Linked DNA regions of Macaca fascicularis. The protein of the gene in region 1 interacts with the protein of each later gene in a pairwise test. Links are inferred from orthologs where the notes say so. Each region holds a gene or a part of one and is shown on either strand. Other genes may lie near its edges. The genes, in order: USH1C and USH1G.

Region 1 (16,063 bases):
TCCACCCCCTACGCCCCAGTGTCTTGTACCATTAGCCTTTGAGCCCCTTGAAGCCCCAGCTTGGCAGCCCGGATTGGGGTGTTGATAACAAACCCGCTGGAAGCTCTTGGTGACAGTGGGAGGGCCTCCTTTATCTCAACACACAAAAACACGGCCCTGGGCTCAGGTAGGAGTGAGACCTGGAGGTCTGCCCATCTCTGCTCAGGCCCTGAGGTGTGGGGACCCCAAAGGAGAGGCACCTGGGTTGCTGAAGAGAGATTTCTGGGCTTGGCCGTCAGGAGACCCAGTTTCTAATCCTGGCTTTGCCACTTACTGGTCTCTCAGCCTCTATCGGTAATTCTGTAACATGGGAAAGATCCATTCAATGCATATAGCAAGGACTGCTTGTGAGAATGTGACCTGGCACATTCCAGGCATTTCTTAAATCTCCCTCTGTCTGTTCACTTACCAGACTCACAGCATTTGTGTGCCAGGCCCTGCTATAAGCACTTTCTACTATTAATTCATTTACTCATACAACCTGACGAAGTAGACAGTACTATCAGCAACTCATTTTATAGATGAGGAAATTGAGGTACAGGGTTAAGTCATTCCACCAAGTCACACAGCCTAATGAAGAGAAAAGCCAGAATTGAACCCGGCTAGCCCTGCTTCAGAGTCTGTGCTCTTTGGCATCACACTGCACCAGGCTTTCTTTCCCCCTGCTGGTAAAAGGCAACATGTCCAAAACTTCATGTGCCGGTGTCACCATGTTCCTCTCTTGGGGAATAGGGGAGGTGGGGGGAAGTGCAGCGGCAGCAGTTGGAAGGAGGCAGCAGCTGCAAGGAGGCAGCAGCCAGGTTTCCAGCTTCACTCAAGAAAACAGGCAATTGCCTGCGGCCTGATTTCTATGAGTCTAAGAACACCCGTCAGGATGCGCCAGCGTCTTCCTCACCCAAAGGCTCGGAAAAGTGGGTGACCACATTGTGCCACACAGCCTAGTGGATGAGTGAGGGGGAGGCAGGAGGTCTGAGGCCCTCGCTTCCCCTCCCTCTGGACTCTGCTTGCTCACCTGGAGCCCGACACTGTCTGCCTGACCGCCTTTGATGAGGTGGGAGATGAAGAGCCCACAGCCAAACTCCAGGCCACCACGCACGCTCAAGCCGAGGCCTTCGGGGTGCAGACGGTCCAGACGCACCTCCTTCAGCTTCCTGCCACACAGGAGAGGTCGGTGATGGTGCAGCCTGGCTGCCAGCACTGCCCCGCCCACTAGCAAGGAACTCTGTCCATCCCAGGGTGACCTCTCCACCCCCTGCCTCCAGCCTGGTGGCTTCCACTGCACCTGGAGCGCCGGGGGGTCAGCTGATCATATTCCACCTGGTGCTTCAGTGGGATCAGGGGCCGAATGGCATCAAACAGAGGCAGGCGGCTGGGTTCATTGATGACCAGCTTCAGGTCTCCCACGAGCACGGCCACGTCCATGGTCCTGTGGAGATGCCGGGAATGCCTGGAGCCTCACCCCTGGCCATGACCTCAGGGACCCAGGGATTCCAAGAGGAAGCCATTTCAGCCACTGGGCCCAGGCTTAGGAATGGAGGAGACCACTCCTGAAAAGCCCAGAGCCCTTCACACTGGGCCAGTGCCTGAGAAGGCTTTGTTCTCTCATAAAAATGCCCCCAGGAAACCAGCCCGCTAGGGATTGTTGACCCATTTTGCAGATGAAATGAAGCCAGGATTTCAAACTATCTCTGATGTTGGGATCTTTCCAGAGGGGAAAGCTCTATGTGAGATGCTAAGGACCCCTCACATACTCATCATCTCCACTTGTATCTACTGCTAAGCTCTATCAGTTTCACCTCACCACAGTTCACGTGCCTCCTCCCTCACGCTGTTCAGACCTTCGACTCCAGCTGCCTGCCCACATACTCACTGTCATTTCATCTTTTCTCAGTGTAAGGCACTCCCTGGCTTAAAACCCTTTGATGGCTCCTTACTGCCCAGAGGACAAAGTCCACTCTTTTCAGCACGCTCAGGGCCCTCCATGACCTGTCCCGTGGAGCTTCTCCAGCCTTGTGGCTATTTACGATCTCTGTGTCCTCCCAAGTCCTACTCCCCCAGGTTACTTATCCCCATTCACACCCTTGCTTTCATGCCTCCACACTTCGGCTAATGCTGATCCCTCATTCTGGAATGCCCTTCTCTGATATTCCACCTACCCAAATCTTTTTCTTTTATTATTTTTTTGAGACAGGGTCTTGCTGTCTTGCCCAGGCTGGAGTGCAGTGATGCGATCATGGCTCACTGCAGCCTTGACCTCCTGGGTTCAGGTGATCTTCCCACCTCAGCCTCCTAAGTAGCTGGGACTACAGGCACGCACCACCATACCCAGCTAATTTTTTGTATTTTTTTGTAGAGATGGGATTTTACCATGTTGCCCAGGCTGGTCTCTAATTCCTGGGCTCAAGTAATCCTCCTGCCTCAGCTTCCCAAAGTTCTGGGATTACAAGCATGAGCCACCGTGCCTGGCCCCAAATCTTTCTTATCCTTCAAAGCCTTGCTCAAGCCTTCCTGGTCCTTTCTCTTCCCTCTCAGTTGGAAAGGAAAACTCCTTTCTTCACATTTCTGCTTTTACCTCTACTTAGCAGTTATTTGATATAACTTACATTAGAGTTCTTTGCATTTGTAGTGTATATTCATCTCCCCTCACCAGACCACAAGTTACTCAAGGAAAGAAAGAGGATCTAATTCATTTCCAGATTTTGCATAGTGCCCAGCAGTGGCAGGAGCTTATAAAGTATACAAAATGAATCAAAAAGCAAGTGGGTGATCAGAGACATCTGATGCAAGGGCTGTGACCAGTTGGCATTTCTTGTTCTGTTCCAACAATCACTCTCTATTGAATCTATCTGGCTACTAGACAGCCTACTCCATCAGACTGTAAGCAACCTGAGAACAGAGACCAATCTGTCTTGCTCACAAGTATACCCCAGCCCCTAGTACAAAGCCAAGTACAAAGTACTTGTATAAATAGTTGCTGAAATGAGTGAATGCTATGTCCATTTGATTTCCAGGAGCAGTCAGCATCCACCCTCTGAGCTCCTCTGTCTCAGAACAACCCATCCCAGGACTCCCTGAAGACAGAGGAACCCGAGTGGTCCACAGGAGCTGGACCCAGCACACTTACTGGTGGTACATTCGCAGCACATCATAGAGATAGTCCTTCTCTGCATCATTTTCAATCAGAAAATCCACCTGAAAAATCCAACAGGAGAATCACAGTTCCAGGCTCAGCACCCTCCATAGCAGACCCCAGGGAGGAGAGGTCACCCCCAGCGGCCTCCCCAGCATCTTTTCAGGGCTGGAGTTGTGAGGAGAGGAGAGAAGCCACAGGCCAGACTGCCCCTCTGACCCCAATGCATCAGACCTATGCAGACCACCCCAACGTGGCCACAGGAGTACTGCTGCCCCTCCAGATGTGGCCAGGCACCCCTCGTCCCCAGGTGGGGCAATATGTGCACACACGGGGATGCACACACATATGTACATATGTGAATCCCCATGTGACACGACACGCTGCCATGGCAATGCTGCTGCTCACCCCCATGGCTGTGTCATCCGTGGCCAGAAGAAGCCCACTGTCTTACCTGATGGTGGCTGTAGTGCCGGATAAATGCTTTCAGGAAGGATTTGGGCCACTCGCTCAGATAGCACATGCCACCCGCCAGAAGCCCCTTACCACCGAATTCTTCTGTAACATCAATGCCAGGAGACCTTCACTCTGTCTTGTCCTGACCTTAGTTGGGTTGCCCTGAGTTCTGTCCACTAGTCAGTTTCCTGGCCACTCCTTCCCCCTTCCCAGGCCCCTGCACAAGCCCTGCAGGGGGAGTCAGGTTACATCATTTCAACTTTGTTGACGTCAATGGCTGGGACTCTAAGGTCAGGTTCAGGAGTTGTGTCATTAGTACTTCCATCCCAGTAGGAGGCCCTGAATTCCACTCCCTGAGTTACCTCAGTGTGAATCTCTACCCTGTATCTTTGGGTCTCTCTTCAGCCCCAGAATGGGTAACAGAGCAAGATGGAAGCTTGAGGGGTCACTGGGTCCCTCTCTCCTCCAGCCTCCGGGCCCAGGGCCTCAGCCCTTCATAGAGAGGCTGCTGCTGGAAGTTGCATGCTCTCCACTGACTGGTCCTCAGAAGAGGGCCAGAGCAGCTTTACCTCTTTCTGTGGGTATCCCAAGGGTTCTGGAAGACCAGGGCAGTCTGTCTGTCCCACCACAGAGGGGACATGCTGGGCCTAGCCCTTGGGATTTCTGGCCTGAACAGGCGCTACAGAATGCAAATTTCTGGCCTGGATCTGGCAGTACTTCCTTCCCTATAAAATCAGGCTGAGCATTTCATTAAAGGTGAGAATAACTTAGGAGGCTTGACTCACAGCTTGGGTTTCAGTTGCTACAGAAGTTCAGCCCACCTGCTCCAAAAGGGCACCCTTGCTTTCTCCCTACCTCAGTGCAAGGAGTTCCCAGCTAGGGCTAGGCGCGGTGGCTCACGCCTATAATCCCAGCACTTTGGAAGGCCGAAGTGGGTGGATCACCTGAGGTCAAGAGTTTGAGACCAGCCTGGCTAACATGGTGAAACCCTGTCTCTATTAAAATACAAAAATTAGCTGGGCGTGGTGGTGTGCCCCTGTAATCCCAGCTACTTGGGAGGCCAAGGCAGGAGAATCACTTGAACTCGGGAGGCAGAGATTGCAGTGAGCCAAGATAGTGCCACTGCACTCCAGCCTGGGTGACAGAGCGAAACTCTGTCTCAAAAAAAAAAAAAAAAAAAAAAAAAAATGGAGCTACCAGCTAGATGACAGGAGATGGAAGCATCTGCTTGAGTGGGTGGTACTAAATCTTAGGGTGGGAGGCTGGCCTCTTGCATGCACCACCTCTGAAAGCCCATCTCTCTACATAGCATGGATTCTCTCACCCACTCTGCTTAGGCCTGTGGGGTGGGGGTGGCTCCCTGAGACAGGCCTGGGCTGCCCACACTGGGCTGTGAAGGAGGAGTCTGAACACTCCTAGCAGCAGGGGCCAGAAATATCTTTATAAATTAAATCATGTCGCTTGCTTGTTCAATAGTTTCTTGTACCCCAAACCAAACCTAAATCCAAACTCCTTACCTTGACTTATCAAAGCCAAATCTCCTTTCCTACCAGTATTCCTGGCTACAAAGGCCTCCTTTCAGTTCTTTCCACAAGCCGAACGCTCTCCAGCCTCAGGGTCTTGGCGTGTGCTGTTCCCTCTGCCTGGATTGCTTCCCCCACTTCCCTGCCTGGCTGCCTCCTTTCCAGAGAGGTCTTCCCTGCTCACCTACCTGGACAGAACCCACTCCTGCACCCTGGAGATGTTTCAATTCCGTCAAAGATCGATGACGATTTGTAATTTAAGGTTTATTTTCTCTGTGAATTGTTTCCTCTGTCTCCTTTGCTGGACAGAAAAATCCCATGAGGAGAAAGATGAGGTCTATTTTGTTATAAATTCCTCGTGCCTACCACATAGTAAGCACTCAATAAAGAAGTATTGAATGAATTTCTCTGCCTGCCTCCTGGTGTGCTCACATGGTTCAGGTGGGAGGGAGGTAACCATGGGAACAGCAGAAGAAGGGAAACGATGTTGCCCCCATAACCCCCATGCGGTGGCACCAGGAACTTTTCATGGGCTTTATTCCATTTGTTTATCACATTGGGGCCAATATTCTCACATCATGTTGCAGTTGAGGGAACTGAGGATCAGAGACGTTAAGTCAACTCACCCAGTGTCCCACAGCTAATAAGCAGAGCCGGGATGGGAACCCAAGTCTGACTCCAAAGCCCATGTTCTTTCTGCTATGCCACGACCATTGATTGTGACTCAGGCCTGGTAGGGGAAAATAACTCCCAAGGTCCCTTTAGGCCAACATTTCACACCCTTTGCTTTCAAGAACTCCTTTCCTATCTCTAAGCCCCATCTCTCTCCTCTGCACTGTTAAGAAAATACCTTTGGGTTGGTCTATAATGAGTGAGAAAATGAGGCATCTTTTGAAGGACTCTTTGAACCCAAGTGTTCTACTTTCTAAGGGGAGCATAAAAATCCCATCTGCTTTGGCTGGAGTGAGGACACCTTGACCAAAGACTTCTAGCGCAATTCTAACCCCGGGTAGTGACACAAGAAAGAAGATGGGAGAGGGAATCTCTTACTGACTGAGGCCTTAGGACTGAAGTTCTCTCTTATCCCTCTGCAGAAATGTATCCTACTGTAGCATTAGATTTCAGTAGTGAGGAACTGTCCTCCTTAGACCATGTTTATTGTGCATTAGGTGGAAAATTGAGGTAGAAGAGTAAGGTAACTTGCAATGTTAGGGTCTAGGGTTCTGTTTTTCTCCCTTCCCTGGGGCAAGTACAGATCATTTGGAGACGGTCTTGGTGGAAAGGAGCCTGTGTCTGCAGGTCCCAGGCTCCTGGCCCTTGTCAGCAGCCCTCCAGCACTGACCACTGCTCCCAGAGGTCTCATCCTACCTGTCTCCCGAGACAGCTGCAGAGCTCAGCTCTTCAGCCTCATGTCTACCCACTGTCACTGGTTAGGTCAGTCAAACCCTGTCCTCAGTTCTGCCCTTGCTCACTTCTCCAGGGTCACCTCCACCACATCCCAAGTGGGACTCAGCTGCAGTGGAACAGATCCTTCCCCTGATACACTGAAATCTCCTTGTCCTCACTCAGAACATTCCATCTACCACCATGTCTGACTTGTCCATTTGAACAATTCTCTATAGACCATAATAGCTAACAGGGAAAATAGATCTGGTTTATGCAGAATACTCTTTACATATGAATCTAAGTGATAAATCATCAAAAACTTGAAAACTAGTTACACAGGAGATCCTGCAAAGGGAGGGATCATTCTCCACCCAGAAATATTTTAGAGAGACTCAGAGAGAACAGCACTGCTTTGTTCTCTGACCACACCTGAATGAAAACACACACTCGCACCTCACTCTTCAGGCAAAAGGCACCAAGAAAGAAAACTGAGAAAGATGGAAGTTTCTCTAAAGCCTGAACGTGCAGTAACAATACCACCATTACTTAAATTCCTTTTTCTTTGTAATCTTCCCTGTGGTCCAAATCAAATTACTTTTCCAATATTAAAAAATTATATAGTGTCCTCTCTTCTGGAATGCTGCCAGCACCAACCCGGGGGTCAGCTTTGGGGAGCCCCTGCTCTAGGGTGCTTTGTACCATTCTCCCAGTACCCTGCGCTCAGGTACATACAAAGCGCCAGGCACGCAGTAGGTCAGTCTCCCACACTCCTTTCTCCCTTCCTTCCAAACATGTTCTTCATTTCCCTGTGGAACCCAGAACCATGTCATGCACACAGGCGCACGGTGCCCAGTGGCGTCTGTTGATGAAATGTGAACTCTATTTGCTCTAGTCTAGAGCCTTTTTTCTGACCTGTTGGCCCAGGCCTGGGTCACCACCTTTCCATTGGTCCTCAGCACATATATTCTGGGTCTGCCTCCCCTTAGTTCACTTCCAATTCATCACAAAAATGTATGTCCCAGCGATTCCATCTATCCACAATGGATGGCTTCCCTCCTCTCATGTGAACCCTGCCTTCATTTCAGATGAGGCCCAAGTCCCCTCTTCTAGAGTCCAGAGCTTCCTCACCTGCCTCCCAGCCTAAGGCTCTTCCTGTCTGGCTCACTTATCCCAGCCAGCCTCTCCCTACTGACTGTCCACTGCCTGAGGAACTTTACGTGTATTATCTTTAATCTCCTAACAACCCTCTGAGGTGAACATTATCATCCCCATTTTACAGATGAGGAAATAGAGGCTCAGAGAAGTGACAGAACTGAGACTCCAACCTACGCCTGCTGGCTCCAAAACCTCTGCTGTTTTTCAAACTACCACATGGTATCCATTTACCAAATATAACTCCTTTGTTTTGCACTTGTCCATTACACATTTATTGAACACCTACTATGGGAAAGACACCAGTCTTCTTTCTCCGACTAGATTTAGAAAGCCTTTCCTTTTCTCGGATCTCTCTTGATATTGAGCACAGAAGCCCTAAAGGAGCTCACCGTCTACAAATAGCTGTTGGGGATCTCTATTATCATCCCTGCTCCCCTGACCCCCGCCGCAGGCCCTGCCTAGATGAGCGTTCGAAGACTGATGTTCCTCTGGCACTGTGCTATCGGTCTGTATGGGAGGAGGGGACAGGGAGCTTCTCCACCCTCACAATCTTCAGGCCGCTTGTCTAGGATATTGGAGGCAAAAGCTCGGTTTGGCCATGTGGTGCCCTCCAGTCTCATCCCCCAGTATTCCCCCATATGGACTGACGCTTCAGGATAGCTGCAGAGGGGAACCATGGGACATTTAACTCAGGCAAATTCAACTTTAGGTATGCACCCAGCCAAACAGGGAGAAAGAGAGTCAGAACAAATTAAATAATGCATGTTGTTCCACTTGATGAAGTCTCCTTGGGCTGTAGTGGGGATTAAATGAGTGAGTAAATGTAAAGTATGTATAACAATGCCTGGGACATTTCAAGGTCTCCAAAATGTGTGCTAGATCTTTTCCTTTCATGCCTCCAGCCATCTCTATCTTGCCCTTTGTCCAGGGGGCTCTGTCTGGGCTCCCCTCCCCTCTGGTTTCCTGCTTTGTTCAGCCATCAGGAGGTACAAGCAGGAGATGAAAGGAATGGGGAGACAGGAACTGAGGCTCTTAGTCCCTGGGGGCTGGCTGCTGGGCCACAGTTAGGCAGGTTCCTCCGCCCAAGGCTGCAGCTCCTGTCTGGGCCTCTCTGGCAGTCCTGGTTCTCACCTGTTCTGGTAACCTTCCCTCTCCTGGCCCCTTCAGGGGTGCTGGCCTCCTGGATCTGGCCCCAGGGTGCAGCCTGTTGGGTCATTTAATCCTGCCCTTTTCTGCAGAAACTCTTCATAAAGATTTCTTGGCTTCCCCCTTGGACGAGCCACCTGCTCCCTGCTGCCACCCTGGTTAACCATTAACAGTGGTGGTACTAGCAGTATTTCTTTTCTGTGGACTCCTCCTCTACCTTTAAGATTCACTTCAAATGTCACCTCTTCTTGGTCAAGTCTTTCTTTAGGCTCCCCCACAAAGCTGGCCACATCTTTCTCTGTGCACACAAACAACTCTTTGTCCCCATGGGACTCTCTAAGCTGTGCTGAACTTTCTCCTTTTACCCCCCTGTCTCCCCACAAGCCTGTGTGTGGCCCAGACGCAGGCCTGGGTTGTGAGTGTGGTGGTGGAGCCAAAGAACCCCTTCCCCAACTGGGTCTGCACCGCTCTGTGCCTTAGTTTCCTTATCTGTAAAATGGGTACAAACATCTCTTTTTAAAATGGGATTTAATCACTAAGAGAGACTAATAATTGTTTTTTAGTATTAATTTAATGAGTTAATAATTATGAAGAGTTTAGAACAGTGCCTGGCAAGTAGTAAGTCCTGTGTTTGTTACATAAAACTAAGTGAGAATAAGTGGATATAAATTCCATATCCACAGCAGTGGGTAGCTAGTGGCCCTCTGTAGATGTTAGTGGGATGAATAGATCCAGCCACACTTCTTCCCAGGCCTTCAGAGTGTGCATCCCAGTGGTACCAGGCTTTATTTAACTCTTGTTTTCTTATTATCCATCTTCTCTTCTCTTCTCTTCTCTTCTCTTCTCTTCTCTTCTCTTCTCTTTCTTTCTCTCTCTTTTCTTTTTCTTTCTTTCTTTCTTTTTCTTTTTTTTTGAGACCAGGTCTCACTCTGTCATCCAAGCTGGAGTGCAGTGGTGTGACCACAGCTCACTGCAATCTCAGCCTCTAGACTCAATTGATTCTCCTGCTTCAGCCCCTCAAGTAGCTGGGACTACAGGTGCACAACACCACACTTAGTCAATTTTTGTATTTTTTGTAGAGATGGGGTATGGCTATGTTACCCAGGCTGGTCTCAGACTCCTGGGTTCAAGTAATCCTCCCACCTCAGCCTCCCAAAATGCTGGGATTATAGGTGTGAGCCACTGCACCTGACTTCTTTTCTTTTTCTGGAACCACTTTATTGAGGTATGCCTGACATGTAAAATGCCGTATATATTTAGTGTATACAACCTGATGAGTTTGGGGATAGACGTGCACGTGTGAAAGCATCACCACCATCAAGGCCATAAACGGTGCCCTTCATCTTTTCAGAGGCTCTTGACCTGTCAGCTAGTTTGTAGTATTTTGCCCAGTGCCTGGCACAGCAATCATGCCCTGCTTCTTCTTGTTCTCCCTCACTTGCTGCTCCTTCTCCTCCAAAAGTTGTGGTGCCCCAGGCTCTGTCCTGGGTCTCCTCTCCATCTGCACCATCTCTCTAAGTGAACTCATCCGTCTCAGGGGTTTAAATACCACTTACACCCCCAAGGACCTACTGATGTTTATCTCCAGGCCAGACCTACAGCCTTCTCAGTCACCTCTAGTAGGTGTCTCAAACTTACAGCATTCAAAGTGGAATGTTAGGTTTCCACCACCTCCTGCTCTGTCTCCACCAACCTGCTGCTTCTCCCCCAAATGTGAATTCACCCTTGATGCCTCTCTTTCTACACTCACAGCCAGTCCATCAGCAAAAACATGTATCCTGAATCTGACCCATTCTCACCCGAGTCTGACCCCCTGCCTCTGGCCTGGGGTCCTGCAGGAGCCTCCTGACTGAGGTCCCCCTTCTACTCTTGGGCCCCTCAGTGGATTCTCTACAGGGCAGCCAGAAAATTCCTTTTAAATGTAAATCATTCACACTATAAGAAAATCCCAACCTAACCATGGCCTATCAGGCCCCTATCACCCCTCTGACCCATTTCTCACCATTATCTACAAATGATTCCTCTGGGACACGCTGTCCTACTTGCTGTTCCATACAGGCAGGCATCTGCTGGCCTCAGCGCCTTCGCACTTGCTGCTTCCACTTTGGGGAACGCTCTTCTACATGTATCCCCGTGGCTCCTCTCCTCACTTATTCCAGGTCTCTGCTCAGACGTCACCTCTTCAGAGAGGCCTTCCTGACTGCCCACCTTGTTACTTATTATCTCTCTCCCCATCTTAGTTTATTTCTTCATATAATTTATCACTACCTGGCATTACACGATACTTTTGTCGATTTCCTTTTAACTGTCTGTCCTCCCCACTAGAATGTACTGTCTAAGAGAGCAAGGGCATTATTTTGTTTTTCAGTGCTTAGAGTACTGCCTGGCATATATTGAGAACTCAGTCAATATTTATTGCCTATGTGAATGAATGAATGATTAGCAAATTCCTAGAGAGTGGTGGCTGTTTCTGATCTTCTTATTCATCCCACCAGGTCGTCCAATGCCTGGCCTCAGGCAGAGTACACAGCTATGCTCATAAATGTGTGACTGCTGAAGAGGCAATAAATACTTTTAAGCAAATGAGTAACCAAGTTCCTGCCATGTGCTGGTGCTGCGAACAGAGGAGCAGTCTCCTTTTGAAAGCTGCTTCTCTGAGGGAGAAAACAGTCTCTGACCAAGCCCTGCTCCCCCAAATCCTGGCCCAAGGTTGCTACTAGTTATTGGAAGGGCATGCAAGTGCTCCTGGCAACCTTGGGGTAACTTCACAAATCAAAAGGAGTTGATGCCTGGAGTCTGTTGGCTCACACTGGACACTCTGCAGGTATCAGTTGGAAAAAGTGTGGTTACTGTGGGCCCAGAGCAGCCAGTACTTTAATTGCTAGTCAGTCTTGTCTGTCTTGTGAGGTAAGTACCACAAACTCCATCTCACAGCTGAAGAAACTAAAACTCAGGGAGAGTGGGTGGCTTGGCCAAGGTCTTCCTGACAGTAACAGGGCTAAGATATGGTCCCAGTTCTGCTAACTCCAGATAATAAATAACAGTGGACATTTATTGAGGGCTCCCTAAGTGCTAGGGTCTGTTTAAGCTCCCCACACACATGTAGATCTCATTCAACATTCATGATAACCTTATTAGTTAAATATTGTTATCTCTTTTCACAAATAAGAGCACTGAGGCACAGAGAGATTAATTGAGTTGCTCAAGGTCACACAGCATTTTCCATTATAACACACTACCTTAAATATTACCTCCAACAACCAAGGATTTAGATCATAAACCATTTCCTCCAAAACACTAAGGAAGGTACCCCTACAAAGCAAACAACAGCAAGTTGTAAATTTCTCCCAGCATATCTGAGTGCCTCCTCTCTATCCCCTGCTGCTTCATCCTCTCTCCCAGTTCCTGGATGATCCCCAGCCTGGGAGGGGAAGGCTGTGGCTGTCTCCAAGGCAGCAAGGCACAAAGTCCAGCCTGGGCCTTGCCTAGCACATGGCGCCTGCCCTGCCAGCACACAGGGATATTAATAAGTAATGACTCTTGTGATGAGGAAGAGTAGGGCAGAGGAAACATGGAGGTCGGAGGCCCTTTGAAGCCTGTGGGACCTGGGGAAGAGGAACAGGGCAAACCCAGGGTCTGCATCAGACACCAGGGACCCAGGAGACGATTCTTGCAAAAGAGACAGAGTAGGTACCCCACAGAGTGAAGGCAGAAGACCTGACATTATTTCAGGCCAGGGGCAGGAAAGTGAAATTCAACCCTGAGTCTTGGGTTGGGGGACGGAAGGTTGAGCTCCTTCAAACTGGGTTGCCTGAAATCTACACTCACAAAATGTCCTTAGCGGCTGAAATTTCTTCCGACATGTCTCTTTGCAACAGGATGTACCGGTGAATGCTGTCTCAAGCTCCCCTTGGCATTCGCCAGCCCCTAAATTCCTACTGAACTTCCAGCTATCGCCCACCCGTGGGAGCAGGACCAGGGATGCCCAAGACCATGTTTTCAGGAGCCTTCTGCCAGTTTGAGCTGTCCCTTTGTGCCCCTACAAAAGCTTGGCCCCAACAGGCAGCACCCAGACATGGGTAATTACCAGAGTAGAGTCTGCTTCCCACCTACACCACCAGCAATTTGAGGGCACAGACTGGGTATCGCTGGGAGGATGCTCAAAACATGATTATTAAATGAATAATTGACCCTGGGCCCTTGGCCCCAAGCCCCTGCGGCCCCTACTCTGGCTGGCTCCTTGGGCTCCTATGGGCCTCTCTATGGGAAGGAAGGGGTTAAGGACCCTGACCTTCCCTACCTGAGCTCAGTCCTCAGACCAGGAAGAGGTTTGGCTTGGTCTAAAGACACTGCCCCCCTGGGGTCTTTGGGAGAGCCTTGGGTCACACAGTTGTTAATAGTTACCTGCCCCTCAGGCAGGGCCTGTGGGGAGATCCAGATTCCACCCCCACTCCCCCAACCCTCCGTGGCTTCATCCCCAGACTCAGAGGCATCCTAAGGCCTGGTGAAGAGGTCGGCTGGATATCTTTGATGACCCTCTCTGGTCTCAGGGCCTCAGCAGATTCTGCATAGCTTTGTGAATTGTTCTGGAAATGCCCTGTGTAAAATCCAGCCGCTTCCAGTGATGGTCCTTTCGGATCCCAGACCACCAGTGAGGCCCCTCACTGGGACACGCCAGGGTGGACCCGGCTCTGCCTGAAGGATCTGGCTGGCCAGAGCCCAGCTCCCACGCCCTCAATACCTCCTCCCTTCCTCCCCACCGCACCCGGGTCAGCACCAGCTCCTCAGCTACTTCTCAGGCCCTAAGAAACGCCCTTAGGCAGGCAGGGCTGAAATGCTTCTAACTCATGTTCTGAGGTCAAAAGGCAGAGAGAGAGACGTCTAGTTTCCCTTCTCCCAACACTCACCTCTCAGATACTGCCCCAGACTCTCTCCACAAGCCTCATCAACCCTGAGCTGGGGGCACTAGGAAGGAGAGGGACTTGCCCACAAAGGGGGCACCTCAGAGAAGCGGCCAAGACTGGAAGGAATTCAAACCCCCGAGACGTCCCCGCCCCTGGAAGGCAGAGGGAGAAAGCTTGGCAGAAGATCGATCTGTTTAGCAGTACCTGAGCCCGGAGTCCCCGTGTTCCCTCCCTCACTTTACTGGGGATCCCTGCTGCCAGTCAAACGACCTTCGGGTGTCCCAGCCCACCCAGAGCCATCAGGTGGGGCCGGAAAAGGGAGGGGCAGTGCCGGGGTGTCCACCCCTTACCCACCGCGCCCAGGACTCCGGAGTCCCAGAAGCCTGGGGCGCCCCACAGCTCTGACCTTATGCCGGAATTCTCGGGCCACTTTTCGGTCCATGGCTGGGCCAGGTCCAGCTGTGTCGTTGAACGACCGGTTCCTTCGGGTGCCCGGCTGCCAGGAGCTGGAAGGAACCGCGACCGCGACCCGGCCAGCCGCCCTCCGAGCTGGGGACGCGGCCTGAGCGCGGAGGGGCGGGGCCGGGCCGCTGTGGGGCGGGGCCGCTGCGAGGCTAGAGTTGCAGGTGCTCAATCGTCGCCTCCCCCTGAGGCCTGGGAGCAAATGGACCCAGTGTGCCTATGGGCCTGTGGTGGCAGTAGCTGGGCTTCAAGCTGGTATTTCTCTTGACGTGGTACCTGATCACATGCGTTTGAGGAAGAAGATCGTGGAGATGTAGGGAGGAGGTTTGGGAATTTTTGTGATGACTGGAATAGAGAGATCCGGAAACTATTCACACGGGTGGGCAGGGGGCGGGGCAATCTAGTCCATCTTCTCTGGATACTCCGGAGGGCTCATGGCCCTCCTGGACTGTCAGCCCTTGCTACGCCTTCACCTTCAACGTACCTTCTGTCCTAGCTTCCTCCTGCACTTTTCCACCAGGGAGAAATCAATCCTTGCTCTGTGAATTCCTTGGGGGCAGGGCCGGGTTTTACTGTGGGCCGCAGGGGTCTGAACCAGTGGGTATGGGAATGGCCCTCTCAAGTGATTTCCCCTCCCACCTTCCCTAACACCTCCACTCCCAACAAAACAAGACAAAACAAAACCCAAACCCAACACGCTCCCATATCCATCGAAGCCTGGCGGAGCCTGGCAGTGACATTTTGATCTATGGCTGACCTTCACCCAGGGCCCAGACCCTCTGGTTCATTTAATTCAATTTGGTCAACATTTGCTTAACTCCTAGGTCTGGTGCTGGGTGCAAAGACAAGGATGAACCAGGCCTGGAAAGGAATGAAAGGAAAGAGGGGCTAGGAGAGGGGTGATAAAAACGTGTAAATCAGGGGCTGTTAAGTATGGGGCTTGTGCCTGAACTTAACCCAGGGAGGCACCTGCGCCCTTTGCACCCTGTCAAGCGCAGGGGCAGGGAGATGGACAGCAGCTTACATCAGGTAACCACTTAAGATTGTAACTTTGGGGCACCTAAACACCCCTCTGCATCCCTTTCCCCAATAGCTGAAGTTTTACAAGCACACTATTTTTGTTTGGGCTAAATTATTGCCTAGTTTAAGATGTAAATCCCTCTTGAAGAAGAGCCTTAAAATATGATGTTTTCTCACCTTAGTATTAACTATTAAGTCAGTGATAAAAGGGAAAGACTTGTGGGATTTTTGAATGGTCCAGAAAAGGCCACACAAAATGCATTGCCCTCTGACTTACTTCATTGATTCTCTACATTGAAAAAGAATGTCATATGGCTGTTTATTTTGTATTTAGAATCCTGGCAGAGGTGAGTGAATGTTCTTACCCAGGAGAATGCTGTTCACCTGCCACCCCAATCCTTATTTTACATTGGTCATCACCCCCACAGACTCCCTCCACCTTAAAATGCCCCCTGCTTTGTTTTGAGAATAGCATTGAGACCTAGTTCTCCTTTCCATGAATTTTTTTTTTCAAGCTTCCTTGGAGACAATCAGCTTTTGCCTATTTCTTAACCAGTGTTCCTTAAGGCTGCATCCTTAGCTCTTTCCTCTTCATCTTCCTATCTGTGCCCCTAGCTTCCTCCTGTGTGAAGATAGCTATGTGTGCTTTCTTTACCACTATATGCCTAGAACAATGCATGACATGGAATCAATGCCAAACAAATTTGTTGAGTGAATGAATGAATGAATGAATGAATGAATGCATCTCAAATCTATGCCCTTGCCTAGGAGTCTACTGGGGCCAATACCACCACCACCACCACCAACATCATCATCCTATGTAAGACCTGGCATTTAGTTGG
Region 2 (16,066 bases), on another chromosome or scaffold:
AGGCTGGAGTGCAGTGGCCGGATCTCAGCTCACTGCAAGCTCCGCCTCCCGGGTTCACGCCATTCTCCTGCCTCAGCCTCCCGAGTAGCTGGGACTACAGGCGCCCGCCACCGCGCCCGGCTAAGTTTTTTTTGTATTTTTAGTAGAGACGGGGTTTCACCGTGTTAGCCAGGATGGTCTCGATCTCCTGACCTCGTGATCCACCCGTCTCGGCCTCCCAAAGTGCTGGGATTACAGGCTTGAGCCACCGCGCCCGGCCGGGCCTCAGTTTTTTCATCTGTAAAGTGGAGAGAGGTGGCTTGGAACCCCTGGATGGTTGCTAGGCAACTTTGCTGCATCAACATCCTGGGGGCCTTTCTGATTGATGCTGGGGGAAGGGAACTGTCTTGAACTCCCTTTGGCAGAAAAAATTCGCCCAGCAGCCTTAGGCAATGGAGCAAGATTACTCCAGGGCCCTTCCTCAGACGTGACTGAGAAAACAGAGCCCACTAGGCACCAGCTTACAGAGGGGACTCACCCCTGGGAGAAAGCAGGGCTTCAAATCAGGCTGCCCATGAGCTGCCTGTGGTGATGTGGGACATGGAGACCCCTCTGGGCCTCCGGAGGGCCCTCATGGAGACCCCTCTGGAGGCCCAGAGCCCAGGTGACGGGCGGCAGCCTCCTGGAGTACGTTTCTGCCCATCTCTGGAAAAGCCCAGGCAGGCCTTGGTGGGAAGAGAGAACACGCACCCTCCTGCCCTCCACAGCTGCAGACCCTGGCAACAAGCCTGGAGGCTCAGTCATCCTCCTTGCTCGGGGGGACTCTCCTGCCCTAGTTCTCAGCCCTGCCTCTCCACCAGCTCCTCATTCTGGACTGAGCTAGGAGAGCAGGGTAAAGGCCTAGGGATCTCTTCAAAGATGCATAGCATGGGGGCTCGAAGACACTCCAGAGAACAGGGCCCAGGACCCAGTCCTCACAAGCACAGAGAAGACCCCTCCCGCCCCACCCCCACCCCCCACTCTTCATACCCAAAGCATTAAAGGACAAGACACAGGCATGACACTGGTGGAGAACATTCTCTACAAAAGTGGTAATGAGCCTGCAGGAGGGATTCGGGCTACAGTGGTGGGCACACAGAGCCTGCTCCACCCCAGCACTGGCTAGAATCAGGAGGGGCTGCGGCAGTAAATGGACAAGGAATGGGAGAGAAGGGGCAGCACCTGGGGCTCTGGGAAAAACAAGTCGGCACTTGGGGGTGGCCCCAGGCTCAGGCCCAGAGAACAGGGAGAAGCACTGCGGTGGGCTCCAGATAGCAGTGGCAGGCAGCCAAGCCCTCAGTGTCCTGCAATAGGACAGGGACCATCTCCTCCATGCCCCCACTCTGGGCATGTATATGGGAATGGGAACCCCCGGACAGACCAAAAAGAGGCCTTTGAGGGCTCTCTTTCCCCTACCCCAGCCAAGGGGGCCCCGGGAGGAGCTGGGGACTGTGGCCATGCTCCCAGCAGGAGCTGCTTCCCAAGCTGAGGTCAGGGATGGGGGGCCATGGCTGAGGAAGGAGGAGAGCACCTCTGCATGGGGTGCGAAGCGGCACACACATGTCAGCGGGCTCCTGAGGGACTCTCCCATATCTGTGACCTCGGTCTGGCTGGAGAGCTCTGGGGGCACATGTCTGAGGACACATGCTCTGACCACCCTCTGAGCTGGCCTTTCCCCTGGTCTCACCATCACAGGGCTGGGACACAGGCGAGCTCTCCCTTAGCCCCGATCCAGCAGCCCAGCCCCTCTTTGGTAAAGAGGGAAACTTACCAAACAACACCCAAGGTGAGCGCGCACACACGCACGCATGCACACACACACGCATAAACACACACACATGTGCACGCATGCACACACATGCATAAACACACACAAACGCGCACACATGCACACACATGCATAAACACAAACACGTGCGCACACATGCACGCACACACACATGCATGTGCGTGCACACGTACGCAAGAACACACACACAAGCACACACACACCACACACGTACACACACATGCACGCACACACATGCATACACGCACACACACAGCCCTGGTGACCTGGGGATAATCTGCAGTTTAGATTATCCACTTTCTCCAGTGTCCATATCGCAGGACTTACCCAACCCAGGCCCAACACCCAGCCACACCCTGTTCTGCCTGTCCCAGGCCTGGGAGACTGAGGAGGTTGGCAGACACCTTTCTCTGGCCCAGCGCATGCCTGCCAGGCCTGGGGGCTATAACACTGCAGCCTGTTGGTCTAGCACCTTGCATCTAGTGCCCTGGCCCTCTGGGGTCCCTGGCGGGGCCAGGCTGCACAATGAAAAAGCGGGAGGCTGGAGGAAGACAGGCCAGGCTCCATCCCTGGATGAGCTGGGAAGGGCGTCAGTACCCCCAGCCTGGCTCTCCAGTTCCGGGCCTTGGCCACTGGCTGAAGGAGGGGATGCTGGCTGTGCTTGGAATGGGTGCAGACTGAAAGTTGGGGCATTTGGCTGAAGAGTCTGGCTGAGGAACTTCCCCTCTGGGGTGGACTGGAAGAGGGGAGGCAGCCCAAACTCTTCCCTTCACAAAAATGCAGGAAGTGAGCAAGTCTCCGGCCTGAGCACAAGAGAACAAGACCATCAGGGGAGGGGCCCGGGACAGGCACGCCCTCCGGCATTCACCTCCCACACTCCCATCCAGTTCCATGCCCCTGCCCTCCCTCTGGGGTAAGCCTCCCCCAAGTCTACATGTCCTTTAGGGCTGCTCAGAATGGGTGGCTCAGGGCCTTTGTGACCCCTCAGAACTGGAGGGGACATTCTCTTGCCCCTCTGGTGCCTCCAGGCTACACCCTCTGCTTCAAGGTGTGGACAGCCTTTCAAAGGAGTCGACCCACGTGGTCCTTGCTCCTGGGGAAGGGGGCTGCAGGACTGGCGACTGTGAGGACCTTGAGGCCCCACCACAGGTTGTGGCAACTTGCAATTCATTTTGGTCTGGGGAGAGGAGCCCCCCGTTATCTGTGGAGGAAGAGACAGAAAGAAACAGATTTCACGTGAGGTCCTTTAGAGGCATCCTTTTCACCCAGGACAGCCATCTGGACAACTTAGCCTTCCCATCTCTCAGCAGGTTGATGGTCAGGGATGGAGGATGCCAGCCTACGGGTGACCTCCCCATCCCCAAAACTCTAAACCAGCCTGCCTCCCCACACCCTCCCTGCCCCAGCCACTCAGGATAAAGGCCATAGATACCTAAGAGGAAATGAGGACAGCATTTGTTGGGCTTGTGGGATGCTGCAGGGGAGGGGCCAGGGCAGGGGCTGGCCACAGCATGACCATTGTGGCAGCGGCCTTGGCCAACTATGACGGGCTTTGGAACATGAACTCTGCCTCCAGAGCATTTGGGAGCGTTTGCCCACGTTCCTGGTTGCAGAGTTCAGGAATAGCAGGTAAAACATCTGCCTAAAGCCGGGCGCGGTGGCTCACGCCTGTAATCCCAGCACTTTGGGAGGCCGAAGTGGACAGATCACCTGAGGTCAGAAGTTCGAGATAAGCCTGGCCAACATGGCAAAACCACATCTCTACTAAAAATACAAAAATTAGCTGGGCATGGTAGTGCACCCCTGTAATCCCAGCTACTCAGGAGGCTGAGGCAGGAGAATTTCGTGAACCCGGGAGGTGGAGGTTGCAGTGAACTGAGATTGTGCCACTGCACTCCAGCCTGGGCAACAAGAGGGAAACTGTCTTAAAAAAAAAAAAAAAAATCTGCCTGAGGTCTTGGGCAACTGAGAGGCCCTGCTGACTGCAAGCCCTGCATCCCATGGGAGCCACCTTGACCCCAGGCTCTAAAGCCATGCAGACCAGGGATCAAGCCCAGCTCCATGTTGAGCAGCAGCAGGACCTTGAGGTGAGCTATTCTAACTGTCTGAGCCTCCACTTGCTCATCCGCTATAAAATGGGAACGATATAATCCACCAATACAGTCCGGGCACACGGGCTTTTAGAGGGATTAAGCAAGAGAACTTGTTCAAGGGCACAACCCAGCACCTGGGAGGTGGGAGGGCTCAAAAACACCCCAACTGTGATTCCCGTGACTGTTGAAACTCGGTGACACTAAGACGACCATTTCCCCACATGTTGATGTCCCCAAAATCGAGGTGCACTTTACACTAGCTGTGATAAGAATGCCTTGGGTCATCATTAAATTGGCAACTTCTTTTTCTGAGCTGGTGGTAAATAAAATAAGGGGGCCTTTTATCATCGATGGCCCCATTTCGATTTTATGAAATACAGTAGCCCCCACCCCCTACTCCTGAATAGGCAGATCTGTACTCCCTCCCCAGGGGCCTTCCAACTCCTGTTCCTCCATCCCCCTGCCAGGCTGGACACTCACAGCTCTGTGTCCTCCAGGGCCGGCGGGCGCTCCATCGCCTGCCGCCGCCTCCTCACGGCCCCCAAGATCTTCTTTCGGGGCCCCAGGGGGACGCTGATGCTGCGGAGGTCGAGGTCAGAACATAGCATCAGAGCCTCGAGGTCAATCTTCTCCTGCCGCAGGAGGGCGGCAAAGTCCTCCATGTGCAGAGAGGCCAGAAAGGTCTCCAGCGGGCCGGTCTCGGGCTCCAGGTCCTCGTCCAAGCCTAAGTCCAGCTCGTCCCAGGGCAGCTCCTCCCCACAGCTGCGGTCCTGCAGGCTGTTGGCACTGCCCAGGCTGTCATCGTCCAGGCTAGGGGAGCTCTGCAGCCGACCCCGAGGCGCTCCCATCCCGTCCAGCCCCCCATCCTCGCGGCCCAGTCCGTGCAGCCCACTGCTCAAGTAATTTCTGCGGAACACCATGGTGCCCAGGCCGGGGCGGGTAAAGAGGGAGTCGTGGCCTGAGTCGGTGCTGACCTCCGAGTGGGCAGGCTCGGCTGCCAGCGTGGCACGGGAGACGCTGTCCTCGTCCGAGAGGAACATGTCCCGGAGCGGGGCTCGGCCCCACTCCTTGGGATTGGCGTAGGTGCCCTGGCGCACGAACATCACGTCGTTGCCCAGCTGCAGGCCCGAGAGCGAGCGGGCGCTCTTGCGCCCATCCTCGGAGACTTTGAAAGTGCCTTCGCCGCCCTGCTTGCGCCGCTCCAGCTTCTTCTGCATCTTGGTCTTGCCCCTGGCCGTGCCGTGCAGCGTGGCCTGCGAGTACGGCAGGTGGCTGCCCAGCGCCAGGTGCTGCAGCCGGCGGCTCAGGGTGCTGGACGTGAGGCTGGAGAAACTGAGGGTGTCGGAGCGCTCGGCCAGCTCGCGCCGGTAGCGCCGCTCCATGCGTTCGTGGTGCTTGCGCTGCAGCTTGGCGCACTCGCGGATGCGCCGCTCCGCCTCGCGGAAGGCCTTGTCCTTCAGCTTACCCACTAGCTTGGGGTTGAGGCTGCTCTGCTTGGCCGCGATGGAGTCCAGGTAGCGCACGCATTCCATGTGGCCCTTCATGGCAGCCATGTCCAGCGGCGTGTGGTAGTCGTTGTCTAGGCACCAGATGTTGGCCCCGAAGGACACCAGGAAGGACAGGCAGTGCAAGTGGCCATTGGAAGCTGCCAGATGCAGGGGTGTGTTGCCCCAGATGTCACACTTGTCCGGGTCACCCCTGCAGGGAAAGCATCCAGGAGGGACTAGTGACGAGTCCTGGCTGGGGATGGAGGTGGAGGGAGTGGAGGGGGGAAGGGAGCTCCCCCACTGTCACAGCAACCCCCAAAGGGACCGTGGGCCTGAGACCTCTTCGACTCCAGGAGACCTGCAGGCCTGAGCCACCCAACAGGTGAGCCCAGGGGTGAGCCCAGGGGAAAATGGCCCCAGGTGTGCAGGGGGTGGGGTGTCAGAGAAGGCGGGACCGGGGCGGGACCTTCCCCAAGCTAACTGAGGACTGGGAATCTCAGGGGATAAATATTTGATGCCCTGAGAGAAGGGAGTAAATTATTCATGAGGCCCAGCACAGAGCTGGCCAGAGCACTGGGGGGCCAGGGCCGCGTCTGGGTCTCTAGGCAGGCATGGTGGTGAGTGTGGCTGCGTGTGCCGAGTGACCGTAAAAGAGAACAGACCAGAGGGTGATGTGTACCAGGCCCTAGCCCCGGGTTAGCATGTGTGAGGTGTGGGCTTGTGTGTCAGCAGGCAGGGCCCTGTCTGCAGGGAGCAGGGCCAGCCCTGGCAAGCCCCAGTGTGAGAGGAAGTGTCGGGCCTTGGCCTGGGCCAGGAGGGGAGTGCAGGGGCAGCCAGGACTGGAGGGGAGGAGGAGGGAAATCAGCTGCCTGCGCTCCGAAGCCCTCCCTTCCCCAGGCTGCCCCCTCTTTGTTATCCCTTCAAGGCTGTCTCACTTGAGCCTGTCCAGGACCCCTGACAGCCCCCACAAGCACCCCTCACACCAGACTGTGTCCCTCAGGGCAAGCTCCCAAGACTCCTCCGGAGCTCTCCCTCCCCTGGGGGCCCAGCACAGCACCCCTGCCCTGCACTAATGAGGCCACGAGGCCAACCCCCAGGGCTGGGGGAAGAATCACTCCCTTGTCTCAACAGCTCCTCACACACTCCCTCCTGGGCCTCCCCTCCTGGCCACCAAGTCCTACAGGCCAGTGTGGGAAGGGCCTGCCAGCACCCGACCCACACCCCATCAAACACCAATCCTGGTCTCTGGAGGAGTTGGGGCTTGGCATACCCAAGGGGAGACCTCTTCCCCTTCTCCCTTCCTCCCATGAGCCTCTCTGAAGGGATGGCAGGGGACAGTGTCACTGTGTGCTCTCCTGGGATGAGGAGGGGCCAGTCAGCCTTGGCCTCCCGGGACATGGCTCAGCTGCCCAGGCTTCGAGGCTGCTCCCACCTGATGCTGGGCCCAAGGAGCAGCCCAAGGAGGGGGCAAGAGGGAGGGGTCTCCAGCACCCACTACATGATCAGGCCATAGGCCAGTGCCTGGGCCCCAGCCCTCTCTCCCATGACCTGAGACTTCATATCAACCCTCCTGGGGTGTCCTGTCCACCCCTCATCCTGTCCAGGCCGCCCTGGTGTTCAGACCAACCTGACTCCTCTTTATAAAGCCATTGGGGCTGAGGGAGTTGGTCACAGTCATTTGACTTTAGCCCCAAGGAACCCATGTCAGTGGCTCTAGTCCTGGAGGTGGCTTAACTGCCACCTCCAGGCCCCTTCCCTGGCGCTGACACCTGCACTCTATGCCCACCCCTCGCCCTAGGACAACTCCAAAGGGAGGGGGAGGGGAGAGAGGCCCCTTCAGGGTGGCCACATCACAGTCTCCCCATTGCTTAGCTATGCCCGGCTGTGGGGGAGGGACTTGGAGAGAGTTAATGGGGTGGCTGAATCAGTGACATTTGGCGCTCTGGACAGTGTCCATAAATCCCGGGGCAAGCGCTGTGTGACACCAGCCTGCCAGGGAAGGTGGGTGCTGGCTGGGAAAGCCCTTTGGATCCAAGGCTGCGGAGTGGGCAGTGAAGACCCCACCCTTTCTAGCCCCACTGCTGGCCCCTCCAGACTTCCCAGCCTTCTCTCCGAGTCTCATTAAGCCCCTCACTCTTACTTTCAGGGGGACCCCAGCCAGGGGATCTCTCCCACCTTCCCCTCACTCTGCAGCAACCCCCCATAATCAGGAACCCCCAAATCCCGGTTTCTCCCCCTCCTAGCCCCAGATCGAGGTCACAAGTGTTACAAGTGTCAGATGCCTCTGCTTGGGTCCCCCTCCACGTGTGTCTCTCCCACAAACGCCAGGGTCTAAGGGTCCACCTGTCTGCAGGGGAAGGAGGCAGCTCAGAGGAGGGGTGGAGGATGGATCCCAGGGAGTCTGGGGTGGTCTCAGGGGTCTCAAGGGCGCTGGGTGGGGAGTACTCACCCGCGGCTCACAATGAGGCGCAGCGACTCCAGGTGGCCGTGGTAGGCAGCCCAGAGAGTTGGGGTCATGCCATCCTCATCGGGGGCATTCAGCTCCTTCCGGGTGGCCTCCTTGAGGAGCTCCAGGTAGCCATCCCGGGCTGCCCGGTGGTACTGGTCGTTCATGGCGCCCGAAGTGGACGGAGTGGGCGGGGGACACGGAGAAAGGCCCCCCGCAGGGGAGGGCGGCGGGGTTAGGGCTGAGGCATGAGGTTGGGGGAGGGGGCCGGGCAGGGGCCGGGACCGCCAGCCCCCGCTGCCGCAGACGGAGGGTGCGGAGCGCCAGAGCCGCGACTACCGGGACATCTGAGCCGCTCACCCGGCGGCGGAGGGGGGTTGCGGGGGGAGCCGAAATCTCCCTCTGTCCAGGGAGCCGCCCCCGGTCTTCCCCTGGGTCCTAAACACCCTGCATGCACCTCAACGCACGAGGGTGACCCACGCAAGGCCCTGCCCTCCTCTTCAAAAGTGCCCATCCCGGGGCCCCGCCCTGTAACGCCCAGTCCGGGGACAGTCAGGGGTCTGTCCTCACTAGAGCCTGGGGCGCTGTGGCTTCCTATTTCTCCACCTGTCAGTGGAACGAGCCGAGAGCTGGGGAGGGGTGCCGGAGGGCGGGGTGGGTGAGCCGTCCTGAGCCCCAGGACAGTGGACCTAAGAAGGGGCACCAGCACCGACCGCAGTATGGTCAGCGAGTGGGACAGGCCAGGCCGCCGCCGCCCGCACGGAGTCCCTCGACCGCGCTCCAGCAGAGGGCGCTAGAGGACTAGCAGCGGCTCCGTGCGCCGCGTGGAACTTCGCACCCAAGCCCTGCACTTCGCAGCATCCAGCAGAGCGCGGGCCGGCGGGGGCGCGGGCAGGGCGGTGGGATAAAGGAAAAAAGAGCTTGGATCACTGCGAGGACTGCGGGGGAGAGGGGGGCTGGGGTTCCCACCCCGAGCAGGAGCAGAGGAGCACAGGATTCAGGGTGCGTCGCGGCTGGAGGGCGTCAGGGTGCCCGCGGGCTTTTGGGACGTCTCTTGAGCTTAGCTCTCGGGGCTCTGGGCGCCTGGAATGCTGCACGCCAGGGCGCGGTGGGCACCGGGGGCGGGGTGCCCTCTGGGTGCCTCAGTGCGGGGCCGCGCCCGAGCCTGGCCGCACCGGGGTGACGGAGTGGGGTCGCCTCTCAAAGGGTAAATATGAATCTTGCCTTATCTGGCTCCTGCGGGCTCTTCCCTAAATTCACCTTGGAGAAAGATGGATCATGTGAGCGGGACTGAGAGCTTTATGGAGCCGAACTCCCGCAGCTGTAAATCACCCTGTCCGCCTGGGTATAAAGCGCCTGTCCATCCCGGCGTGGGAGAGAGGAGACGTTCACCGTCCCCTGACCCCCAGCTCAGCGCCGGCTCCAGGCCCAGCCAGGTGGGTGCCCCGGGCCAAAGGGCAGTCGGACTTGGGGAGTGGGGACCTTGGAGGGGTCCAACCGGGTGCTGCCGCTTCTCCTTTCTTTCTTCCTGTCCAGCGAGAGGGGCAGGTTCCGTGTTTTCTCTTCCCCTTTCCCAGCGCTTCCTCCAGCACCTGAAGCCCCCACCCTGCGGGTCAGGAACTCCCTAGTCCCCAAATCTAGGGATGAGATGGGGGAAAGAGAGCTGTCGGGGTTGACCTGGAGTTTTATCCGCTCCTCCCCGACAGTAATCCCTCTAGTCTTCTCCAGTCGCCCCCGCCATGTCCGAGGAGCTGGCCCCGGGCCCCAAGGAGAGCCCCCCGGCGCCGCGGGCGGGCCCCAGGGAGGTGTGGAAGAAGGGCGGCCGCCTGCTGTCCGTGCTGCTGGCCGCGAACGTGCTGCTCCTCGCCTGCACGCTCATCAGCGGCGGAGCCTTCAACAAGGTGGCCGTGTACGACACCGACGTGTTCGCGCTGCTCACTACGATGATGCTGCTGGCAATGCTCTGGATCCTCTTCTACCTCCTCCGAACCGTGCGCTGCCCCTGCGCGGTACCCTACCGGGACGCGCACGCTGGCCCCATCTGGCTCCGAGGTGCCAGGGGAGGTGGGGGCGAGGTGGGGTGGGCACAACAGGGAGCTGCAGGCTAGGGCTCTCACAGGAGTTGCAGAGCCCAGGGTGACATATAAGGGTGAGAGTTTGCCTAGAGAGGACCAGGAGGACCGGAGGGTGAGGTGGGCTGCAGTTAAGGATAAAGAGGAAGGGAAGGGGTCCTGGGGAAGGGATAAATAGAGGGATGGGGTGGGACCTCTTTGTCCCCTGGTCTGAAGATTGGAGAAGGCTGGCTAAGGGAGGGCCTTTGATGGAGAGCAGGAACCAGAAGACAGCAGTCACTGAAAGAGCCCAGCCAGGGCCCTTTGCGGTATCCACACAGCCCCAAAGAGACGGGGGCTTGGTAGCAGGTCCATCCATCCACCCACTCAGTCATACACTCACCCTTCCATCCACCCATTCACCTTTCAGTCTGTCTATACACCTATCCACCTATCCTCCCACCCTCCCCACTGATCCATCCAACAGTGCGCTCACTCACTTGTCCACCCACCCATCTAGCTTCCCATCCTCAGGGCCTGTCCTCAGCTGGGCAGACCTTCTCTCCTGCCTCTCTGATCTACCACCACCACCCACTCGCCCTGGTTCTCAGGTGGACTGGTGCTGTTTGGTATCTGCACCCTCATCATGGATATCTTCAAGACCGGCTACTACTCCAGTTTCTTTGAGTGCCAGTCAGCCATAAAGATCCTGCACCCTGTCATCCAGGCTGTGTTTGTCATCATCCAGGTAAGTGTCGCTGTGTGGAAGAAAGGAGCTAACACTTGGCCATTGGAAAGGACCCAACAAGGGGTCGGAGACCTGAGCTCCACCCGCCTCGTATCCTGAGCTATTAAGTAAACTGGGGACAGGGCTGTAGAGAGCATCACAGGAGTCCATCAATGCGGAAACACCTCATAATGAAGTAATATCCCAACGTGAGCTCCCACTTGGAGCTCTGCAATGTTATTTCAACTTAAGCAGTGCCAGTAATTAACACCTAGGAGGTGTGAGCTGTGACAGCCAGCCCTGTCTCCTAGAACCTGGCCTGCCCTCCTTGGGTACCCGTAGGGGGCTTCTGTATCAGTCCAGGCTCCTGCCAGCTTGGTCCCTCTGTTCTGTATTTGTTTGGAAAGTAGGGTAGCCTGTAACTGGGATTTCTCAAACATTCATTTTGTGGTTGTTGTTGCATAAACAATACTTTGAAAGATCTTCTGATTGAGCTGAGACGGGACTGGGCTTAGATGGGATCAGAACAGCCCCCAGCCCTCTATCATGACCAAAATGGCGTCATGGATGATGTCCTCCCCAGAAACATCACCCCTGCTGCCCAGGTTTTCACAGTTCAGCACACGTGTGGTTGTGGCACTTATGTAGCTTTAGTCTTTCATATTTTATGGGTTTGAAGAATACTCAGATAAAATGAAAATATAGATATCCCCACATCACCAAATGCCATAGCAGGGATTCACAGGCAGCCAGACGGTAGCAAGGCCTGGTATGGCGACAGAGGAAGAGGATGAGCAGGGGATGTTGTCAAAAGAAGGTGAGAAGTCCACAGAGGCTCCTTCCACCCTGAGCAAGACCTAACCTGAGGCTGGCCTTGCTCCCAGAAAAAAAAAAAAAAAAACTAGGTAGTCAGAAATCTACTTGACCCCCACCTCCACACAAAATAAACCCCACCACGGGCAGGGTTTTACATGTGATGTTTTGCAAACCTTTAAAGAATGGAGAACCACTATTTTATACAAACTGTGTCAGAATAGAAAGAGACAGTGTTCCCCACCTCATTTTTTTTCTTTTTCCTTTTTTTTTTTTTTTTTTTTTTTTTTTTGAGATGGAGTCTCACTCTGTCGCCCAGGCTGGAGTGCAGTGGCACAATCTTGGCTCACTGCAAACTCCGCCTCCCGGGTTCAAGCGATTCTCCTGCCTCAGCCTCCCGAGTAGCTGGGATTACAGGTGCATACCACCACACCCAGATAATTTTTTTGGTTTTTTTAGTAGAGATGGGGTTTTACCATGTTGGCCAGGCTGGTCTCAAGCTCCTGACCTCCAATGATCCACCTGCCTCGGCCTCCCAAAGTGCTGGGATTACAGGTGTGAGCCACCATACCCAGCCCCCGCCTCATTTTGTGAAGCTAAAATGAACCTGATGACTCGGTGTAAGGTTCCTCAGGTGGAGAGAACAAGATGGCATGGGCATGGGTGCACTGGAGTTTTGTCCATCTGTGGAGTAAATGACTCTCACCAATGTCTCTCAATACAGACCTACTTCCTCTGGGTCTCCGCTAAAGACTGCGTTCACGTCCATCTGAATCTGACCCGGTGAGAGCTGCAGCTCCATGCCTGTGCCCAGTATGCTGGTGTTCACCTTGCAGGAGAGATTTGGGCTTTCCACCCCGGAGCAGGGCCTCTCTTTATGTCCCCTGGGTGGGGTTGCAGCCAAGGCCTCCCTGCTTTGTCAGGCTGACTTCCACTACTTTGTGGGGCCCTTTCTCCCAGGGGAGGGAGTGGTGGTGGCCCCCGGGGAAATCTCCTAGCCCTGTCTTGGGTGGCATACCAGCCAGGCTGTGTTCCTAGCAAAATCAGCTTCCCTGTTCACACAGGCCTGGCTGCTTTCTCATTTCTCAACACCAGCTTTCAGTATTGCTCCCCAACCTGCCAAAGGGTCACAGGCTTCTTTGTCCCTGCCCCCAACCCCAAACAGGTGTGGTCTCATGTTCACACTCACCACCAACCTGGCCATCTGGATGGCGGCTGTGGTGGATGAATCTGTGCACCAATCCCACTCCTACAGCAGTTCTCACAGCAACGCCAGCCACGCCCATCTCGCCTCTGACCGTGAGTTTCCCCTTAATGCTGGCCCTGTGGCTACCAGGCCTTGGGCTGGGTGCTTTATGAGTTTGTAACGTCAGTCTCCCATGAGGGCATGGAGGCAAAGGAGAGAGCCAAGGACCTCCTCCTGCTGCAGGATCTACCTCTGCAGGATAGGTGTAGGTGACCCCAGAAGGGAAGTATCGGGGCACCCTTTTATCCTTGAAGCTGCAGCCCAGGCCCCCCGTCCAGTCTCCATCCCACCAGGAAGGACCCAGGACCAGGAGCAGTGGTTCATGCTTGTATTCTCAGCACTTTGGGAAGCCAAGGCAGGTGAATTGCTTGAGCTCAGGAGTTCGAGACCAGCCTAGGCAAGATGATGAAACCCCATCTCTACAAAAAATTAGCTGGGTGTGGTGGTGCATGCCTGGGGTCCCAGCTACTGTGGGAGGCTGAGGTGGGAGGATAGCTTGAGCCTGGGAGGTCGAGACTGCAGTGAGCTGTGATTGCGCCACTGCACTCCAACCTCGGTGACAGAGTGAGACCCTGTTTCAAAAAAAAAAAAAAAAAGACAGAGAGAGACCAGACCCAGAATCCAGGAAGAAAGGGCAAGAGTGATCAAGCTGGGAAAGGCAGAAGGGAGGCAGAGCGGTTCTTTGGTGAAGCATGGATCAGATGGGAGAGCCCGGGGAGGAGGAGAAGGTGAAAAATAATCATGGCCCTGTGGCTACCAGGCCTTGGGCTGGGTGCTTTGTGAGTTAATGTTAATGGTGACAATTTACTGAGGTCTGTATGTCAGGCACTGTGCTGAGTGTTTTAAACACCGCATTTAACCATCAAGACTTCCCTGTGGGCCGGGCGTGGTGGCTCAAGCCTGTAATCCCAGCACTTTGGGAGGCCGAGACGGGCGGATCACGAGGTCAGGAGATCGAGACCATCCTGGCTAACACGGTGAAACCCCGTCTCTACTAAAAAATACAAAAAACTAGCCGGGCGTGGTGGCGGACGCCTGTAGTCCCAGCTACTTGGGAGACTGAGGCAGGAGAATGGCGTGAACCCGGGAGGCGGAGCTTGCAGTGAGCTGAGATCCGGCCATTGCACTCCAGCCTGGGCGGCAGAGCGAGACTCCGTCTCAAAAAAAAAAAAAAAAAAAAAAAAAGACTTCCCTGTGAAATGGGTACTCTCCCCATTCCCATGCATAGGTGCAGAAACTAGGGCAGAGAGAGCTTAAGTAACTCACCCAAGGTCTAGCACTAGCGTTCATATCCATCTTTGTTTTTAACCAATATGCTAAACTAGGGAGGAACGGGATCCAGTCTCCAGTCTTCATTCTCTGGACTTCTCTAGGGTCCCCCAATAGCCAGGACCAGACAAGATAACTAAGACATGCATGCTCCTAGCATGGGAAGGTCCAGCAACAAAAAGCATGGCCCCCACCCTCAGGGAGACCCCAGCCCAGCGAGCCTTACAAAGGACCACCCTGAACAAAGAGGACTCCTGAGGGTGCAAAACCAAACCAGGGAGATGATGGACTTCACGTGGGGGCCTGCAGACTGGAGAGAGAGGCCTGCCGGAGAAGTGCCTGTCCCAGGGTCAGAAGTCAGGCAGTTTGCATCCACTCTGCATTTACAAGTCACGTCACCACGTTGAGCTTCAGTTTCTTCATCTGCAAAACCAGCAGGGCTAGTTCTTAGGATGAAAAGAGACATTTGCCAAAGCCCAGAGTATCCTACAAATACATTCTGGAGTCAAGTCAAGACTCCCTTCCATGTGGTACAAACAAAAGTAATGGGAGGTCATGGTGGAGACTTGGGCACAGCAGCTGGCTTTCTGGGCTGATTCAGATGGTGGGGAGAGCCGTGAGGAAGCTTGAACTTTAGAGGTTCCCAAGAGCCACTTTCTCTCTCAGGGAGCCAGAGCAGGAAGGGATGGAAGGAATGGAGTGAGGTAAAGTGAGCAGCCCTGGGGTTCAGACTGTTTCTTTGTTTTGTTTTGTTTTGTTTTGTTTTGTTTTGTTTTTGAGACAGAGTCTTACTTTGTTGCCCAGGCTGGAGTGCAGTGGCGCGATCTCGGCTCACTGCAACCTCTGCCTCCTGGGTTCAAGCAATTCTCCTGCCTCAGCCTACCATATAGCTGGGACTACAGGTGCATGCCACCATGCCTAGCTAATTTTTGTATTTTTGGTAGAGACGGGATTTCACCATGTTGGTGAGGCTGGTCTCAAACCCCTGACCTCAGGTGATCCGCCCACCTTGGCCTCCCAAAGTGTTGGGATTACAGGTGTGAGCCACTGCACCTGGCCTAGACTGTTCTTACTGAGCACTGATGTATCCCAGTCTCTGGCACACAGTAGGTGCTCAAGAAATGTTTATGAAGTGAAGAAGTGTGCCATGCCCTGTGAAGGCATGAGGGATACCATGGTGAATATAGCAGGCGTGAAAGACAGGGACCCTGCCCTTAACAAAGGTCACAGGCTAGGTTGGGCGTGGTGGCTCACACCTGTAATCCCAGCATTTTGGGAGGCTGAGGCAAGTGGATCACTTGAGGTCAGGAGTTCGAGACCAGCCTGGCCAACATGGCAAAACCCTGTCTCTACTAAAAATACAAAAATTAGCAGGGCGTGGTGGCAGGCGCCTATAATCCCAGCTACTTGGGAGGCTGAGGCAGGAGAATGGCTTGAACCCGGGAGGCGGAGCTTGCAGTGAGCCAAGATCACATCATTGCACTCCAACCCGAGCAACAAGAGTGAAACTCCATCTCAAAACAAAACAAAAAGGGTCACAGGCTAGGGGTGAGACCTCTCTAGGAAGGTGGGAGGGCAGTCCAGCCCTGTGTCTCTCTCTCCACGACAGAGCGTGCGGGCAACCCAGTCGGAGGAGACTCCTGCCTCTGCAGCACGGCTGTCTGCCAGATCTTCCAGCAGGGGTACTTCTACCTCTATCCCTTCAACATCGAGTACAGCCTCTTCGCCTCCACCATGCTGTACGTCATGTGGAAGAATGTGGGCAGATTCCTGGCCTCCGCCCCTGGCCACAGCCACACCCCATCCCCTCTCAGCCTCTTCCGGGAGACCTTTTTTGCTGGCCCGGTTCTGGGCCTGCTGCTCTTTGTGGTAGGACTGGCTGTCTTCATCATCTATGAGGTTCAAGTGGGCGGGGGCGGGGGCCGCACCCGGCAGGCCCTGGTCATCTACTACAGCTTCAACATTGTCTGCTTGGGACTTACGACCTTGGTCAGCCTGAGTGGCTCCATCATCTACCGTTTTGACCGCCGGGCCATGGACCACCATAAGAACCCCACGCGCACCCTGGACGTGGCCCTGCTGATGGGTGCCGCCCTGGGTCAGTACGCCATCTCCTACTACTCCATT

Evidence for each region.
Region 2: the proteins of USH1C (region 1) and USH1G interact in binary tests that used the Homo sapiens proteins (3 or more experiments, as listed by UniProt). The link is inferred for Macaca fascicularis from reciprocal best matches to the Homo sapiens genes USH1C and USH1G.

The regions. Positions count from the first base shown.
Region 1 is NC_088388.1:48,237,320-48,253,382, reverse strand, and holds the start of USH1C (harmonin), read right to left. Parts: upstream 14,310-16,063; 5' UTR 14,182-14,309; coding exon 14,146-14,181; intron 13,892-14,145; exon of another isoform or gene 13,743-13,891; intron 3,232-13,742; coding exon 3,164-3,231; intron 1,466-3,163; coding exon 1,322-1,465; intron 1,191-1,321; coding exon 1,052-1,190; intron 1-1,051. UniProt on the Homo sapiens protein: Anchoring/scaffolding protein that is a part of the functional network formed by USH1C, USH1G, CDH23 and MYO7A that mediates mechanotransduction in cochlear hair cells. Required for normal development and maintenance of cochlear hair cell bundles.
Region 2 is NC_088390.1:81,273,029-81,289,094, forward strand, and holds USH1G (pre-mRNA splicing regulator USH1G), read right to left. Parts: upstream 8,183-16,066; 5' UTR 8,001-8,182; coding exon 7,837-8,000; intron 5,599-7,836; coding exon 4,381-5,598; coding exon of another isoform or gene 4,377-4,380; intron 3,009-4,376; coding exon 3,005-3,008; 3' UTR 1,038-3,004; downstream 1-1,037. Other genes in the region: proton channel OTOP2, read left to right, coding at 9,573-9,885, 10,496-10,632, 12,149-12,207, 12,590-12,723, 15,047-15,049, 15,549-16,066. UniProt on the Homo sapiens protein: Plays a role in pre-mRNA splicing by regulating the release and transfer of U4/U6.U5 tri-small nuclear ribonucleoprotein (tri-snRNP) complexes from their assembly site in Cajal bodies to nuclear speckles, thereby contributing to the assembly of the pre-catalytic spliceosome on target pre-mRNAs.